Diceros bicornis minor: one gene and its partner. The main gene of each other region encodes a partner of the protein of the gene in region 2 in a complex. Links are inferred from orthologs where the notes say so. Each region holds a gene or a part of one and is shown on either strand. Other genes may lie near its edges.

The links.
Region 1: the proteins of EIF4E (region 2) and EIF4G1 are in contact, whole or in part, in a crystal structure (PDB 5T46), measured with the Homo sapiens proteins. The link is inferred for Diceros bicornis minor from reciprocal best matches to the Homo sapiens genes EIF4E and EIF4G1. Residues at the interface, in NP_001959.1 of Homo sapiens: Pro31, Tyr34, Lys36, His37, Pro38, Leu39, Gln40, Phe47, Lys49, Arg61, Leu62, Ile63, Ser64, Val69, Glu70, Trp73, Ala74, Leu75, Tyr76, Asn77, His78, Ile79, Gln80, Leu85, Tyr91, Glu132, Leu135, Ile138, Gly139, Glu140; in NP_937884.2 of Homo sapiens: Glu608, Lys609, Lys610, Arg611, Tyr612, Arg614, Phe616, Leu617, Leu618, Phe620, Gln621, Phe622, Ile623, Phe624, Ala625, Ser626, Met627, Gln628, Lys629, Pro630, Leu633, Pro634, Ile636, Asp638, Val639, Val640, Leu641.

What each region holds. Positions count from the first base shown.
Region 1 is NC_080754.1:39,381,041-39,388,894, reverse strand, and holds the start of EIF4G1 (eukaryotic translation initiation factor 4 gamma 1), read left to right. Parts: upstream 1-4,785; 5' UTR 4,786-4,894; intron 4,895-5,693; 5' UTR 5,694-5,750; intron 5,751-5,973; 5' UTR 5,974-6,007; coding exon 6,008-6,067; intron 6,068-6,301; exon of another isoform or gene 6,302-6,361; coding exon 6,362-6,448; intron 6,449-7,550; coding exon 7,551-7,727; intron 7,728-7,854. Other genes in the region: PSMD2 (26S proteasome non-ATPase regulatory subunit 2), read left to right, coding at 1-68, 430-612.
Region 2 is NC_080747.1:81,778,412-81,786,400, forward strand, and holds the start of EIF4E (eukaryotic translation initiation factor 4E), read right to left. Parts: upstream 3,040-7,989; 5' UTR 3,025-3,039; coding exon 2,812-3,024; intron 1-2,811. UniProt on the Homo sapiens protein: Acts in the cytoplasm to initiate and regulate protein synthesis and is required in the nucleus for export of a subset of mRNAs from the nucleus to the cytoplasm which promotes processes such as RNA capping, processing and splicing.

The DNA.
Region 1 (7,854 bases), on a different chromosome or scaffold from region 2:
AGCCCCGAATGCTGGTTACATTCGATGAGGAGCTGCGGCCATTGCCAGTATCTGTCCGTGTGGGCCAGGTGAGGGGTTGAGCAGAGGGGAGGGCTCAGGCTGTACAGTCATGTGCTGTATAACAATGTTTCAGTCAATGATGGACCGTGTATACAATGATGGTCCCATAAGATTAGTAGCATAGATCCTGGGTGTATAGTAGGCTACACCATCTAGGTTTGTACAAGTACACTCTATGATGTTTGCACAACGATGAAATCGCCTAACAATGCATTTCTCAGAACATATCCCCATCATTAAGTGATGCATGACTGTACTTTAAAACTTGGAGAGTGCACATATGCCTGCTTTTCTGAAACTGGTGTGAGCACTGGGTTGCTGCGACACTCCCATTTGGAGTCCCTTCATCTCAATTTTCTTATCCTACAGGCAGTGGATGTGGTGGGCCAGGCCGGCAAGCCTAAGACCATCACAGGGTTCCAGACACACACAACGCCAGTGTTGTTGGCCCACGGGGAACGGGCAGAATTGGCCACTGAGGAGTTTCTTCCTGTCACCCCCATTTTGGAAGGTTTTGTTATCCTTCGGAAGAACCCCAACTATGACCTCTAAGTGGCCACCAGGGCCTTTGAGCTGCAGCTGTTGTCAGTGGGCCGTGCTTCCTGCTGCCAGGGGTGGACACTGCTCCAGACTTGTGAGGGAATTGTTACCTCCTGTTCTTTTGTTACCAAGTGAGATAACTTTGTTGAATAAAGACCTTTATCCCCGAGGTCCCTCTGTGTCTCTTTTCTGGGGTACCATGGGCTGGAGGTCAGACTCGGGTGGGGAGTAGATGTGAGACAGCATTGTTTGTAGCAGTTTTGAGCTGAGGCTAGGAGAGAGACTGCCCTGAATGGAAAGAACTAAGACTCTTTCCCTTCTCTCCTCCTTCCTAATCATCTTTAAAAAGTGGTTCATGTTTAGGGGCATGAACCCTTAAGAAGCTGATAAATGTAATGGATCTTCTTTCTAGGAGATGCATACACACAAATTTTCATACAAATTCGTACAAATAACTTTCCAAGGTGGATCCCATACATCCCCTACTCCCACCCACCAATGCACGCCCACCTCAAGCCCATCATTTCCTGACTTTGGACTAAGGATACCTGCTCTAAGAGGCAGCAGAGTTAGCTCCACTCTTTCTAACTCGACTCCTGGGCCGCTGATTGAAAGGGACGTCTTTACCTCCTGTGACCCTCTTTTCCTCCTTGGGAGGTTGCTATTTGAGAGATTTGATCATATTAACATCTATTTCTGGACTGTCCTTGCAGAAACTGGGTGCAAGAAAGCTTGACCCTGACCTTCCTCTCAGTGTAGCAATGGGAAAGAGAAGTGGGCTCCTTCCTGGAATATAATCACCCTTGATCTGCAGTGCTTCTTCCTGGTGGGGCTGGTATGAGTATAGCAACCCTGCCAGGTGGGGCATGGACCCCGCGGATGCAGTGGAGAACACGTGGCCCTGCCAGATAATCACTAGCATTTACCCAACACTGGGGTTTACCCTCTGAACAGTAACTGGCACTTAATAGGTCTTCTATAAATGTTGGAAGAATAATTGTCCTACACGCTTTTGAGACCTCACAATAACTTTGAGAGGTAGGTATTATCCCTGTGTTTTGGGGAGGAATGTAGTTTGGGTGAGGTTTGGTAACTTAGTCACATAGTAAATGGTGGGGCCAGGATTGGAGTCTAAGTCCATCTGACTCCAAAGCCCACACCCTCATTGACCACATTAATCTGTCTCTGTAGCCTTGGAGACTTGCGGACCCTATTGTAGTCCAAGGTATTGGCTAGGTGGAGAAGTGGAAATTTTGGATTGAGTGTCTCCGTTGTCTCCTCTCTGCACTCACTTGGCAGCCTGTATAAAATCTGTAAAAGGTTGAAGCACTGGACTTGGGAGTCAAGTCCCTTTAATGGGACCTGCTGTAGTCTGAGCAAATCAGCATGTCTGATGAGCCTCTGTTATCATCTGTATTACTTGGATAGAGTAATTGCCTTTCCTGATTTCCAATAGTGGTGATGTTAAAATAAGGTAAATTAGAAAGTGATTTGTAAACTGCAAAACAACATAAATAAAAAGATAATTCTCTCCTAAATCAGTGATTGTGCTTTAGAGTAAGAAATTTTCATAGTGGCTCTCAACCTTTCACATTTGGTCATGCATTCTGCAACAAATATCAATGGAGCCTTATTCTGCATTGGGCATTATTCTAGCTTGTGGGGATGCAAAGATAGAAAAAAAAAATCCTATCAAAGCTTATGTAGGGCTGGCCCTGTGGCTTAGCGGTTAAGTGCGCACGCTCCTCTGCTGGCAGCCCGGGTTCAGATCATGGGCGTGCACCAATGCACCGCTTCTCCGGCCATGCTGAGGCTGCGTCCCACATACAGCAACTAGAAGGATGTGCAGCTATGACATACAACTGTCTACTGGGGCTTTGGGGGGAAAAATAAATAAATAAATTACAAAGCTTATGTAATGGAAAATAATTGTGATATATCATGATAGATACTGTATTGGGCTGTGAACAAGGTACCCTGGGATCACTGAAATAAGGCTTAAGTGCCTGGGTAGGTCAGGGGAGATTTTGAGGAAACAGACTTGGAGGAAGATGAGTTTTTCCAGAAGAAAAGAGAGTAGGATAAAACTAAGGGAGCAGCAAAAGCAGGAGGGCAGAAAAGCTATTCATTTTAAAAAACCAGGGATATGGGCCGGCCCCGTGGCTTAGCGGTTAAGTGCGTGCGCTCCGCTGCTGGCGACCCGGGTTCGGATCCTGGGCGTGCACTGACGCGCCGCTTCTCCGGCCATGCTGAGGCCGAGTCTCACATACAGCAACTAGAAGGATGTGCAGCTATGACGTACAACTATCTACTGGGGCTTTGGGGGGAAAAAAATAAATAAATAAAATTATAAAAAAAAAAAAAAAAACAGGGATAGCTTGGTTTGACAAAGGGTATAGGGCCAGGGAAAAGTGTGGTAGGAGATACAGTTAGAGACAGAGGCTCAGATAGGTTTAGAAGAGCTTTGTTGTGCTAAGAAATTGACAGTATCACTCAATGGGAACCACTGAATGAGAGCATGATCAGCTACCTGGGTGAGAAAGCTCACCATTGAGGTGCGGAGACCAGGCAAAGGAAATGAAGGCCTGAACCAGGGCAGTAGAAATGGGGGGATGGGGAAGCACAGAAGAATAATTTTTTAAAGATAAAATCCACAGGACTTGATTTTGATCCAAACACCAATAGGACCTGGTGTCTGATTAGATGTAGTATGTGGATGAGAAGGAATGTAGGATGGATCCCAGATTTTCTGGTTGGATGCTATTCATTGAAAAAGAATACATGAGCAACACCAGGTTTGGGGTCAAGGTGTAGGACTCTATGTAGAGAGAGATGACAAATTCCTATCTGGGCATACACAATTTGAGATGCCTCTGGGGTGATTAGGTGATTATGTATTTTATGTAGCACCTTTTTCTTACTGGAGTTTGAGAGAGTGGTTTCTGATCTAGGAAGGGATTGGCATGTAGGCAGTAACTGATTTTTATTTATTAGTTTGCTTATGCAGAAAGAGAAATGAGAAGAGTACAGAAGGCAGCCATACACAGTAAAGTCACAGAACTCAAATGAAGAGTGTCACAGAGAACACTCTAGATTTGCATTTTCATTCTCACTATGGTTCCTTCTCGATGTGTCTATTTTGCTTTCCTTTCTTTGGAGCTTTAGTTTCTCATATACAATGGGAATAATAATACAATCTATTTTGTAGGAAATTGTGAGGACTATATATGACATACGTCATATATATTAAGTGACCAGTTCATCGATTGGTGCTGAGAAAACCTTTTCTTCTGAGATTTTATGTGTATATACACAGAGAGAGGAGAAGGGAGAGGGGAGAAGACAGAGGACAGAGGTAGAGAGAGGAGAGGGTATCCAGGCACTGTTTTAAGCACTTTCACATGAATTAACTCCTTTAATCCTCTCAATCCGATACAATGGGTATTATCATTGTGAGAAAAAGCACAGTGGTTAAAAGCTCAGACTTGAGTTCAAATCTTCCCATTTTACAACAGGTATTAGGTAGGTAGGTAGGTATGTGGCCAGGGAGTAAGCAGCAGAGTTTGGATTAAAACTCAGGCTATCTGACTGAGTAAATACGTGGATTTGGCTCTAGTACGGTCCCTTCTGGTGTCCAAAATTTTTTGGCTAACGGGCAGGGGTTTTGGGATTACTTCTTCTACCATTATTCTGAACTTTCTATGCTTGAGTTTGTCCCTCTCTGGGAGCGGCTGATCTTTGTAAAAGACAAATCTAACAATACTAATTCCCTAGTTAGAATGTTTCAATACTTCTAGAGTAACATTCAGTTTAATTGGTCTTTTCATGAGCTAACCTACATTATTTTCAAAGGCTGCATAATTCGTATTTCTTTCCGTACTTATTGCATGATTTACTTAGGCAGGACTGAGTCTTTAATTTCAGTATTCTCAGCTCCCAGCGAGCACTTCACCTAGCGCTTAGTATGCACTCCATAAATGCTTGCTCAAAGTATGAATGAACTAAAGAACCACGGAACACAGACGCAGAAGGGGGTCGGTCTGGGAGTTCCAAAGTTCGGGAGGGGACACGGGGGCGGGCAGTGGCAGTCACATGACGAGGCGGGGCAAATCCCATGTGCTCCGCGGCGCCAGGCGCGGCTCCGCCCTCTGCGCCGGTCACGTGGGGGCGCCGGCTGCGCCTGCGGAGAAGCGGTGGCCGCCGAGCGGGATCTGTGCGGGGAGCCGGAAATGGTTGTGGACTACGTCTGTGCGGCTGCGTGGGGCTCGGCCGCGCGGACTGAAGGAGACTGAAGGTAAAGCCGCCATGTCCGGGCCCGACCCGGCCCCCCCACCCCCTCCCCCCGCATCCGCCGCCATCCAGGCCGGGACCGGCCACCCTGCGCCGCCGCCCTGGCACCCTGGCTCCGCGGCCCAAGCCCGGGCCCCGGCCCTCCAGGGCCCGATCTCCGGCCCACGTGTGCCCGGCCTGGCTGCTGGGTGGGGGCGGGGGAGCGCCGGGCCGGAATATGCGGTCCCCGCGGGCAGGGAGGGCGCCGAGTTCGCCTGTCGCGAGGTGCCACCTCGGCTCGACCCGAGGAGGCCCCGCGGGCGCAGCACCGCGGCTCCCGGCCCGCCGCCCCATCCCCCCTTTGCGGCCCGGCCGCCGGGAAGTGACACGTTGTTCTTTGGCACTGGCCGGCGCTGCGCAGGGAGGGCGCAGGGGAGGGAGGCAGCGGCGGCGGGCAGGGAGGAGCCCCCGGCCCCGCCCGGCCTCCGGGCCGACCCTCACTTGTTTGAAACCGGCTTCTCTTCGGCCGCCGCCCGCCTGGCCTTTTACGGCCCGACTCCCGCCCTTCCTGGCCTCCACGCCTGGGTGGCGGCAGGCCTCGCCTCTGGCCCCGCGCGAGTGCCCCCGCGGCAGGCGTGCCTTGTGTGCCCCTGGGCCAGGCCCCGAACCCGGTGTCCCCGGGTGGGGGGTGGGGACACCACGGCCGAAGCTACTAGCTCCGTTTGTGATCCGGGAGCCTGGTGCCAGCGAGACCTGGAATTTCCGGTCTGGTTGGTCTTGGGCCCCGCGGAGCCAGGTTGATACCCCTCAACTCCCAACCCCAGGCCCTCGGATGCCCAGAACCTGTAGGCCGCACCGTGGACTTACTGTTAACCGAGGGGGTGAGTGAGGTGGCTCTTTCATCAGGTCAGGGAGGTGGTTGGAGGTGATGCGGGTTTGACAACGTGTTGATGGGGACATAAGCTGGATCCTTGCTGCTCCTTCACCCTCTTGGCGCCTCCGGGGGTCGGTATGGGACTCAGCCCTTGCTTCAACCCCTCCCCCAGTCCATTTGCCTTAAGCTTGGGTCCCTTCTCCTTTCCGAGCTCCACTCTTTCCCAACAGGTGCTGGGGGGACCCTGATGTGGCACCAAATGAAATGAACAAAGCTCCACAGCCCACAGGCCCCCCACCCGCCCCATCCCCTGGACTCCCACAGGTAATTAGGGACGAATTAGCAGAGACTGGGGTGGGGGTGGGGGGACCAGGCAGCTGGGTCAGAAACAGGTTCTAGCCTCTGGATTTCCCACCCCCATCTGTGTCAGGGCAAAGTGCAGCTTCCTGCTGCCAAATTGAGACAGAGCCCCTGGGCTGTTCCCAGGGGCTGTCATGGGGAGGGGGTATGTGGACTGCTGAGACTCTTGTCACAGATCTGCTCCCCTTACTTCACCAGCTTGGGTTTCTGCCCCACCCGGGTTTCCCCTCTTGCTGAACTCTGGTCTCCCTCCTTCAGCCAGCGTTTCCCCCGGGGCAGACAGCACCGGTGGTGTTCAGTACGCCACAAGCGACACAAATGAACACGCCTTCTCAGCCCCGCCAGGTGAGGGGCCGTGGGGAGGGGAGTAGGGGGCCTGGGTGGGGCCTTGGAAAGCTTGGGCCAGTTTGGGTCTAGGATGGAAACTCTGGAGGCCCTGTACCTGCCCCAGTTTCCTGACAGTTGCTCTGTGTTCTTTTGTGCAGCTCTGCACTTTGCGCTGTTGATTACTTACAGTATCTGGCCCCTTGGGGAGTATGTAGTTGGTGGGGGTGGCGTTACTAGGGGTCCTGGTGACTTGAGAATTGGGGGCAGTGCTTTGGACCCTGCTGCCAACTCCTGCTTTCCTATTTCCTCCTTTTACTGGGAGGTTGCCATTGCTCTGTTCCCCTTCCCTTCTTTCTCTTGGGGCTATGATGGGATAAACATTCCAGCTGGTTCTTGCCTTTATCTATACCCTAAATTCTTCCTCGCTAAGTGGGAGGATTCTTGTCCTACTTCCTTCATTGTTCCCCCTCATCACCTTGGGGATAATTCTCTTCTTTCCTGTCCCCACGTGCTCTCAGGGAGGATTCAGGTCTCTGCAGGTAATACCCCTTTGCTAATCCTGGACCTTCTCTTGGTCTCACCCTTACCCTCCACCCTAGTCAGGGGCTAGATGCAAGGACTGGGGCTCTTCAGGGTGGGGACTTGTTTGTCATTCAAGTCCTCAGTCTGAGCCTGACTGATGCATGTTAGGGGCTATATCTCGCAGAGCGTGCATCTGGGACCTGGGAGACTTGCATGTTAGTGGTTAGTTCCTCAGTGCCTTAGGTGGAGCAGTGCATGCTGAGGAGTATGTTGCCCGAAAGGACTTTACTTAGGCATGATGCATCTGGGTATCAGGCAGCCTCTGCATAGGGGTCGCCTGGTGGAGGTGACATGAGTATGCATGGCAGTGAGGGAGTAAATATATGCAGAGTGCAAAGTGTATACCTGAGTTTGGAGGGCATGTGTGAGTACAAGAGGCCAGTTAATCATCAGTTGGTCAAGTGGGTCTTGGAAGTATTGGTCTCCATGCTCCAAAGCCCCTAGTACTTCTCTCCAGTCTAGAGACATTGTGGAATGGCCATTTTGCTGTCCACTTCCTCCCCTTCCCAATGCCAACTGCCTTCCTCCCTCCTGACAGCACTTCTACCCTAGCCGGGCCCAGCCCCCGAGCAGTGCAGCCTCCCGAGTGCAGAGTGCAGCCCCCGCCCGCCCTGGCCCAGCTGCCCATGTCTACCCTGCTGGATCCCAAGTAATGATGATCCCTTCCCAGATCTCCTACCCAGCCTCCCAGGGGGCCTACTACATCCCCGGACAGGTGAGGCTGGAGGCTTGGGGGCTGGAAGCCACAGAGCCTTGTACCCCAACCCTCGCCTCCCTCACCCTGACCTTCCAATCCCATCTCTTCTCCAGAGGTGGGACTTGCTTCTGGTCATTGCCCAGAG
Region 2 (7,989 bases):
TTTGAAAATCAAAATCACTGTAAGCTATCTTCTTAATTTCCTTTTTTCAGCTAGACTTAGAAAGTTCAGTCTTCAAGGTGACACAGATATTAAAATTAGAATATAAGCCATGCTCATGTCCACATTTCAAAAATGTCTCTATGACAAAAATGGAGCAGTTCACAGGTACCAGAAGAGCAAGGAAATTTCCAATATTAGAAGGCAAGGGAAAGTAGAAATTACTATTGCTAGAGCAATTATTTCACAGGTTCCTTGTTATATCCATGACTATTGTTACTTTTACTATATTCTTAACTTGATATAAATTGAACAGAATATTTTATAAAAATTTCTTTGCCTAAAATTTTCTATCCAAATTGGCTTAAGCTTACATAATTCATTTTGCATTTTATTCTCTGGAACTTCGGTGTGTAAACTGTGTCTGTTTCTAAGTTGAATTTCTCTAAGTCAAATAATTATGCATAATATTAATTCAAAGCATAAAATTTAGTGAAATTTGAATATAAATACCAGAACTGAATTTATTTGGTTTATGAACAAAGTTTGATATACTGGGTTCTTTCATTAAAGCAAAAACACACATATTAACTTGCAAGATCTGCTTGTTAATCAACAATTTTTGGTCAACAAAAAACACTGAATTATATAACAACATATTTGTCAATATGTATTTAAGCCTTATTCACTTTTAATAAATAAACTCTGCAATACAAAGCATGTTTCTAAAGGATAAAAAAGGAAACATTAGATCAGCTGACCATCCAAGTTGATTCCACTTATGAAATTAATTTTTAATTTATAAAAAAATTCAAGAGATACAATGTGAAAACAAGTAACATTATATACCTTCAGTTTAACTAAAGAAACCAAAATTAATCTCTTACCTTGAAAAGAACTACAAGTCAAAAAAAAAGCCCAACAATGAAGAATGTAGAATAAAGATAAAGCTACAAAGAAACAAGACCCACTGAGGCAAGACCGCCTGGGGAAACTGCCTTGCCCTCTTCACCAACTAATATTAAGTCTAATTTTGACTCAGCCACAATTCAAATGCCAAGACAGTAACAGGAGAGTATCGTTTATCCCAATGTTCAAAATTTTGCCATATTACCTGTAAAGAGGTAAAATGCTTCCTTTAATTTGCCCTGTCAAACTTCTCAACAAATTTACTATTTGTAAGCCATATCTTAATGTCACTGAACTCATACACATACACTTGAGAAAACCCACACGATAATATCAAATTGAAAATGACTGATGTTTTATATAACTTCCATAGATAAAAATTCCCCCAAACGCTTATGAAAAGTGGAACAAGCAGGAAAAACCCATGGCTCTTTAAGTGCTTATGATTATGCCTAGCAGAAAAGCAATAAGGAAACTCACAAGCGAGCTGAAACAGCAATGAACAAATATGCTTTCTGTAGGCTTCAGCAGGGATACCTCAATTGTAACCAATACTAATCAACTGCTTAAAAAAAAATTCCCACTATTTAAAATTGTCAAAAAGAATCTAAACTACTAACTTGTGGACAAGCGTGCATTAAAAGTACTAAAAATGTGCATTTTCACTAAAAATGAACACTTCAATGTTATTTTACATACATCCTCAAACTACTACAGTTTAACCTGGCTTTCCATTTTCACACACTTTAGGTTTTTAAGTTTCCTGCTCCCCAAACCTAAATGCAGTATCCAAATCTCTGGGTCAGCACTAGAACAAATTCTATACTGTATCACTGACCACATCACTGGCAATTAAGCTCTTTAACAGTTTACATTGAATAAGGTATAGAATCACATCTTGTATAACTTTGTATTTCTAAAGAATGCTTGGTTCAACGTCCTAAATATATCAGGGGCTATATTTACTAACTCAAACTAATCCTTCAACACTTTGTAGTTCTCTGCTGTTGAAACAAAACTGCATAACTTTGCAAAATCCAAAGGACCTAAATGTTACTGAAACTTCACAGAATACATTACTGTTTTATGTTTTGAGGTATGAGTCTTGCCCCTATTACCAGCTGTAATGCTTTTTAGTGACACTGGTACAAGTGAATAGCAGAGCAGATCCAGCCAGAAGTGGACAACACCCTAAAAGGGATTTAAATTAAAAGTTTACATATTTATCCTACGTCTTTAGCTATGTAGCATTAATGTTCTAAAGTCAGTTAATTGTATCAACTACTTGAGACAGTTTTGCAGTCAACCTGATTTCTAGGAACATAAATAAAAACTGGTACCAATTAAAGAACAAGTAATCAAGTAGAAAAACTGCCTTAAATCCGGGCAACAAGGTAAGGATAGTTCACATTAATGTAATGAAAAAGAAGCCTTTTTGTATTCTGTAGGCCTCTCCATGACTAGTTTTTGAAACAGTTATTAAAAAAAAAAAAGTCAAAGCAAATTGGTAAGCCATTATCAAAATCACAAACTACCACTACAGATACACAAAAATATCTGGCAACCAAGGTCTAGAACTGGTTCCAGAGTGTCAAAGGTTTTCTGGTTATTAACATAGCCCATTATGCCTCTAAAACAATGTCACTCAGATGTGACATTCCTAAAACGGCAACATAGGCCTAGAAGTTTCAGCGTCAGTGCTAATGCTGGCAAACTCAAACTATGACCAAGATACTCTCTCTCCTTGGGGTTAACTACCAATTTTCTGCTCCGGGATCAGCTTGCTTCAACCAAGTTTAAGATGGTGCCTACATTGAGAGGAAAGTGGGTAGAACAGATAAAGAGAAAACATTCAAAGGGAAGCTTAATTTTAAAAGTTAAGTTCTTGATTCCAATAAACCGCGCCTTAGAAGTCTTCCAGACGACAAGGACTCGGAAGAACAGCTGGATGTAGACCCATTCGCTTCTCTGAGGCGTGCGCACTGCGCGGAAAGCATGAATGAATGGAAGAGGCTCGTGTGAAACGCAGCAGGTCCGGCCGGCAACCAGACCGGCGGCAGCGCTCAGTAGGCCTCGCTCCTCCCCTTCCCTCCTCCATGACAGCCCAGGCTCGAGCATGGAGGGGCGAGGACAATGTGATCCCCCTTCTCACCACCACCACCACCACCCTTCATCCTACTCAGAAAGCTTTACCGCGCGACACGCGGCTCTCCTCCCCACCCCAAACCGCCCTCGCCTCCCCGGCCGCCAGCCCCGGCCACTCCCGGGCGCTGGAGTACCATGCGCTCGCCCCTCGGCGCCCCTCGGCGAGGTCGACGCTCTCCGCGCGTGCCGCGGCGCCGCTCCCGCCCAACCCACCCTCCGGCCACGCGCGCCCACCGGCTCCCCGGCACGCTGGTCGGTGAAGACCCGCGCGCGCCCGCACCCGAACCCCCGGGCGGGAGCTCAGGAGGGAGGGAGGGATAGGCTGCCCCGGGGCTCCCTCCTCGATCTCCTTCCAGGCCGGCTCGCCACCCACCCTCCCTGCGGATCCCGGCGCCCGCTCGGGGCCGGCCCCGCGCCTTCCTGTCCCGAAGGCACAATCCCCACACACCCAGCCCGGGGCCACGGTCTCCCTGCACCCTGGTCGACACCCGCGGCGCGGCAGGGGGCGCCGCCCCTCCCCCACGCCTCTCCCCCAGCTCTCAGCCCCCACCAGAACGTGTGCGCTCCACGCCGCGCCGCCAGCCTCCGGGGCGCCCCCCGGGGCCCGCGGGCAGGTCAGGCCCAAGAAGAGGGGGAGGGGGCGGCAAGGGGTAGCGTGCGCGCCAGGAACGCCGTCCCGCGGGGTCCCCTAGTCCGAAGGGGGCCGGAGCGCGGGGACCCGAGGGGGTGGGGGCCAAAGGCAATACTCACCGGTTCCACAGTCGCCATCTTAGATCGATCTGATCGCACAACCGCTCCTGGAGGGGGGGTGAGAGAAAAAAATGAGATTCAAACCGGATTGGCCGGCTACTGTCCACGTGACGGACGTGTCCGTTTGGCCCTGGCGGCGCCTGCGCAAGACTGCGGCTGCGTGAATGACCAGGGGCTTCTGGGAAGTGGAGTCTCTTTTCTCCCTCCCTCTGTCTCTCTTTTTTTTTTTTTTTTTTCTCTTCAGGGCAAAGAAGTTTAAAAAAAAGGCGTGGTCACGTGGTCGATGGGTAGGGTGCGCGGTTCTTGGCGCGGCGACGCTCGCGTGCTGGAGGGTAGTTTTCAGTCCTCTGCTCTCCCACCTGGGTAGGTGCTGTCGCACTTACTGCCAGGCATGCCTATTGTGCCCTTTGTCGCCCTGTCCTCCCATCTTCCCCGGAAGGCTCAGTACGCACAATAAGGCTTCATTTGTTTAGTTGCGGTCCTAGGACAGGTTGTGTGTTTATTTAATTTTCTTTTGACTTCCCACCATTTTCCCTTAGTTTCAAAAAGAGGCGGCGATGGAGAGTCGTTGTTTAAGGAATCAACCCTGCCCCGTCCCCGGCTCCGCTACCGGTCGTGGTCACTCGTTGCCATCTCTGCGAAAGGGGGTGGCAGAACCGCCCACCGTGCCCACTTGCCCCAGGCTGGGGGAGGGGGAGTGCACCCGACAGCTTTTGCAGTCCCAAATGCTGAGAGTAAGACCTCAGGGCTAAATCTTGAGTGGAAGGAACAATTATTTGGAAGGTCTGTCTTCTCGGTTGCACTATTCTGCTTTAACGTGAACAGAAATAGCCTAGGTCCAGGTGACAGCCAGGAAAGCCACTCCGGGTCCCGCTGACTAAGCCTTGGGCTGACCGTCAGGAGTCGTTAGGCCTGGTCAACTATGACTCTGGACGTTGACTCATTCTCCTTAGGCGAGTGACTTAATCGTTCAGTGCCTCGGCTTTTTCATTTATGAACCACAGATGATAATACACTTACCTCACAAGGGTGTGCTGTGGTAATGATTGTATCCAGCTTTGAAAATGCATCGGACTCTGTAAATGCTTTATAATAAGCAACCTCGTGCCTTCCTAAGGATCAGTTGCTTCTCCTGCTATTTTTTTAAACAATGTTTTAAGTTTTTCTTTTGTTTACGTTATCATGTACACCGTGGCAATTTTAAAATTTCAAGACAATTTTTTTGTTTATAGCTAACCTCAGTAGAGGCTTTAATATTCACGAAAATATTGTTATATTCACAACAATCTCTGGCAATTAGAAATTTATCCCCACATTGGCATCCTACATTTCCTTTCCCGCTAAGATAGTGTGCTATCGTTTCTCAAGACAGTGTTATTCTGCACAGTCTGATTATTAATACAACAATCAGTACAGATAAAAGAAATCTAGTAGAATGCTGCTATAAGGTTCTCATGAGGAAGACATCATATCATCCCTATTTGCCATACTTCTTAAGAATGTTAACACCAGAAGATCAATATAAGCAGGGTGCTTGTGCCTGCCTGCTGATAGTGTTGCCAATGCCTAGAGCTGGGTCATCGCTATTGTTGAGTACATAATGGTGGCTTGAGTTGACTCACACATAGTTGAGGCTGTGTGAGAACTCAAAACCATTGCCTGTTCATATGTTTTGGTTTACCTGGATATCAGAGGTGATTAATGAAAGCTTTTCAGTCAGTTTAGCTCTAGTAGGTTTAAAGTAGATGGAATTAAAAAAAAAATAAACGGATGAATGGATTTCTACTTAGGCAGACTGTTACTTAAACTATCCAAAGTAATTACAGTTGATCTCAGTGGTATTTTCTGTTGGTTAGAAGTAGTATCTGGTTATCTTCTTTGAGGAGAGAGCATAAATGTGCTATTTTTATGATGCTGCTAGATAACAGAGCAAAGAATTAAGGAGATTTCAGTCCCCTTATAGGACTGAAAGCCGGTGATATTCTCAAAACTTCTTTTAGTGATAACCTCCATTTTATTAACTTTTCTCTTGATCAAAAAACTCCCCACTTTTGTCTATCATCCTAGTACTTCTACAATACTTACATATACTCCTATTCTTTATAGCTTAATTTCTCTCCATTTTGTATACACTTCGTTGCATGGCACATTCGTGTGTGTTTGCCTAATATTGCCATTAGAGTCTACCGTGTTAAAGATTTGATGATTAGATTTTTATTTACGTGTGTATGTGGTTGTTTTGTTTTTGCTAATCTGAAATATACAGAGCAGAAATTTTATACTTTATTTCTCTATTAATCCACAAAAAATTACATTTGTTACCTTACTACTGTATTCATACTTATGCTTAAAGAAAGGGTAATAAAAAGATATATGAAATGGGAGATAGTATTGAAATTCTATTCTACTAGATCAAGTTATCTGGTAAATACATAACTAATGGCCCAGCATAGTATCATGGTAACTATTATGTATAAGCCTGGAATAATTGGTTTTCATTTAGTGTCTATAAGTAGTCATGATCTTTTCTCTACATAATGTATTCATCAAGCTAGTATATTACTAGTCTTTATAGATTTAACTCACGGTAAAACACTTTAAAGAATTTGATGGAACACATCAGTTGTTTTTAATCATGTATTTACCTCTTTTTTATTGGAATTTTATTTAGGATTTCTAGATAACCCAAGTCATTGTTTTGCTGGGTATCAGTACTAAACGACCATTTTTCTTAAAATGAGTAGGTTTTGAGGCAGAAAATATGAATTGCATAATGAAGTAAATGATCCTTAATATTGCAATATTGAATATTAATTTAGATATAATCTAAACCAACCTCTAACTAACACTAACATTGTTTTTTTTAAAACCTATTCACTCAGTTTTTAAACTTGGTTATCCTTTACTTTATGCTCTATTTTTTAAAATTGTTATTGTGACTTTCTACAGTGATATTCCTTTAGGAAGGACCTAAGATGATGACTTCTAACAGGACAAATAATCTTTTCAATTACAGTTGCATAGTTTAGTATTTAAGAACGTGAGCACTGATGTCAAATTATCTTGGTTCATAATCCCAGTTCTACTGCTTACTGTGTGACCAAACAGATTATTTAGTCTCTTTGTGCCTCATTTTGTCATGAGTTAGATGGGCATAATAATAGTACTTATCTTGTATAACTGGTTAGTGTGAGAAATAAATGATGTAATATTATATTAACATAAATTTCTTATTTCTACTTTTTAGTATACTGTAATATGCGTAACAATTCTTTCATTAGAGAACCAACCTAGCCTATTATCTTTCAGGATAGTCCAAGCTTTCAAAGTCAACTAACATTGGTTTTCTATAACATGCCAAGTCTTTTTCATATTGATTACTTCATTTGACCTTTATAACAATTATGTGAATTATACATTATGCCCATTGTATAGGTAAAGAAACAGACTCAATAAAGTTAGGGGACACATGCGAGTCCACACAGCCAGTGGTGAGCTCGAATTCAAACCCAAGTCTCTTGACTCCAAGATTCTTCCCTCCATACCATAGCTGCTTTCCTCTCGTAGGTTCTTCCAAATGCCTTTTTCTGTTCAAAGGACTTCTAATACTAAGTTCGTTTATAGAACTGACAAACCATTCAAGAAGTGTTGAGTTAGTAATGGGAAATGTGAATTGCTGAAGGATATTTAAAGGACATGGGAAGCCTAGGCACTTCCTTCCTGGACTGTAAAATCTGCTTGGCATCCTAAGTCATAGGAATATAAATAGTTCAGTACCCATATAAAGAAGTGTGACTAAGAACCAAAAGGTTGCAGCTAACAAGCCCATCACAAGCACTCATTCACCTAATGAATGAGACAGCTGCAGAGTTCCTTCCCTCATTTCATTCAGATCTCTGTTCCGATGCCATCTCCCGAGGGAAGGCTTCCTTGACCACCCTATCAAAATTAGCATGCCCACTACTCTTTATACCCCTACCCTACTTTATTTTTCTTCAGACCACTGCATAACCCTAGCTCTAAACCCAGTATTATATTAAACATTATTTAATTAGTTGTTGGTTGTCTCCACTAATAAAATATTAGCTTCTTGATAGATAGGTCGATTGCTAACAAATATTTGGGACAAACCCAAATCTAATTTTAATAACTAGACAAAAAATCTAGCCTCAGGACTAATAATATAAG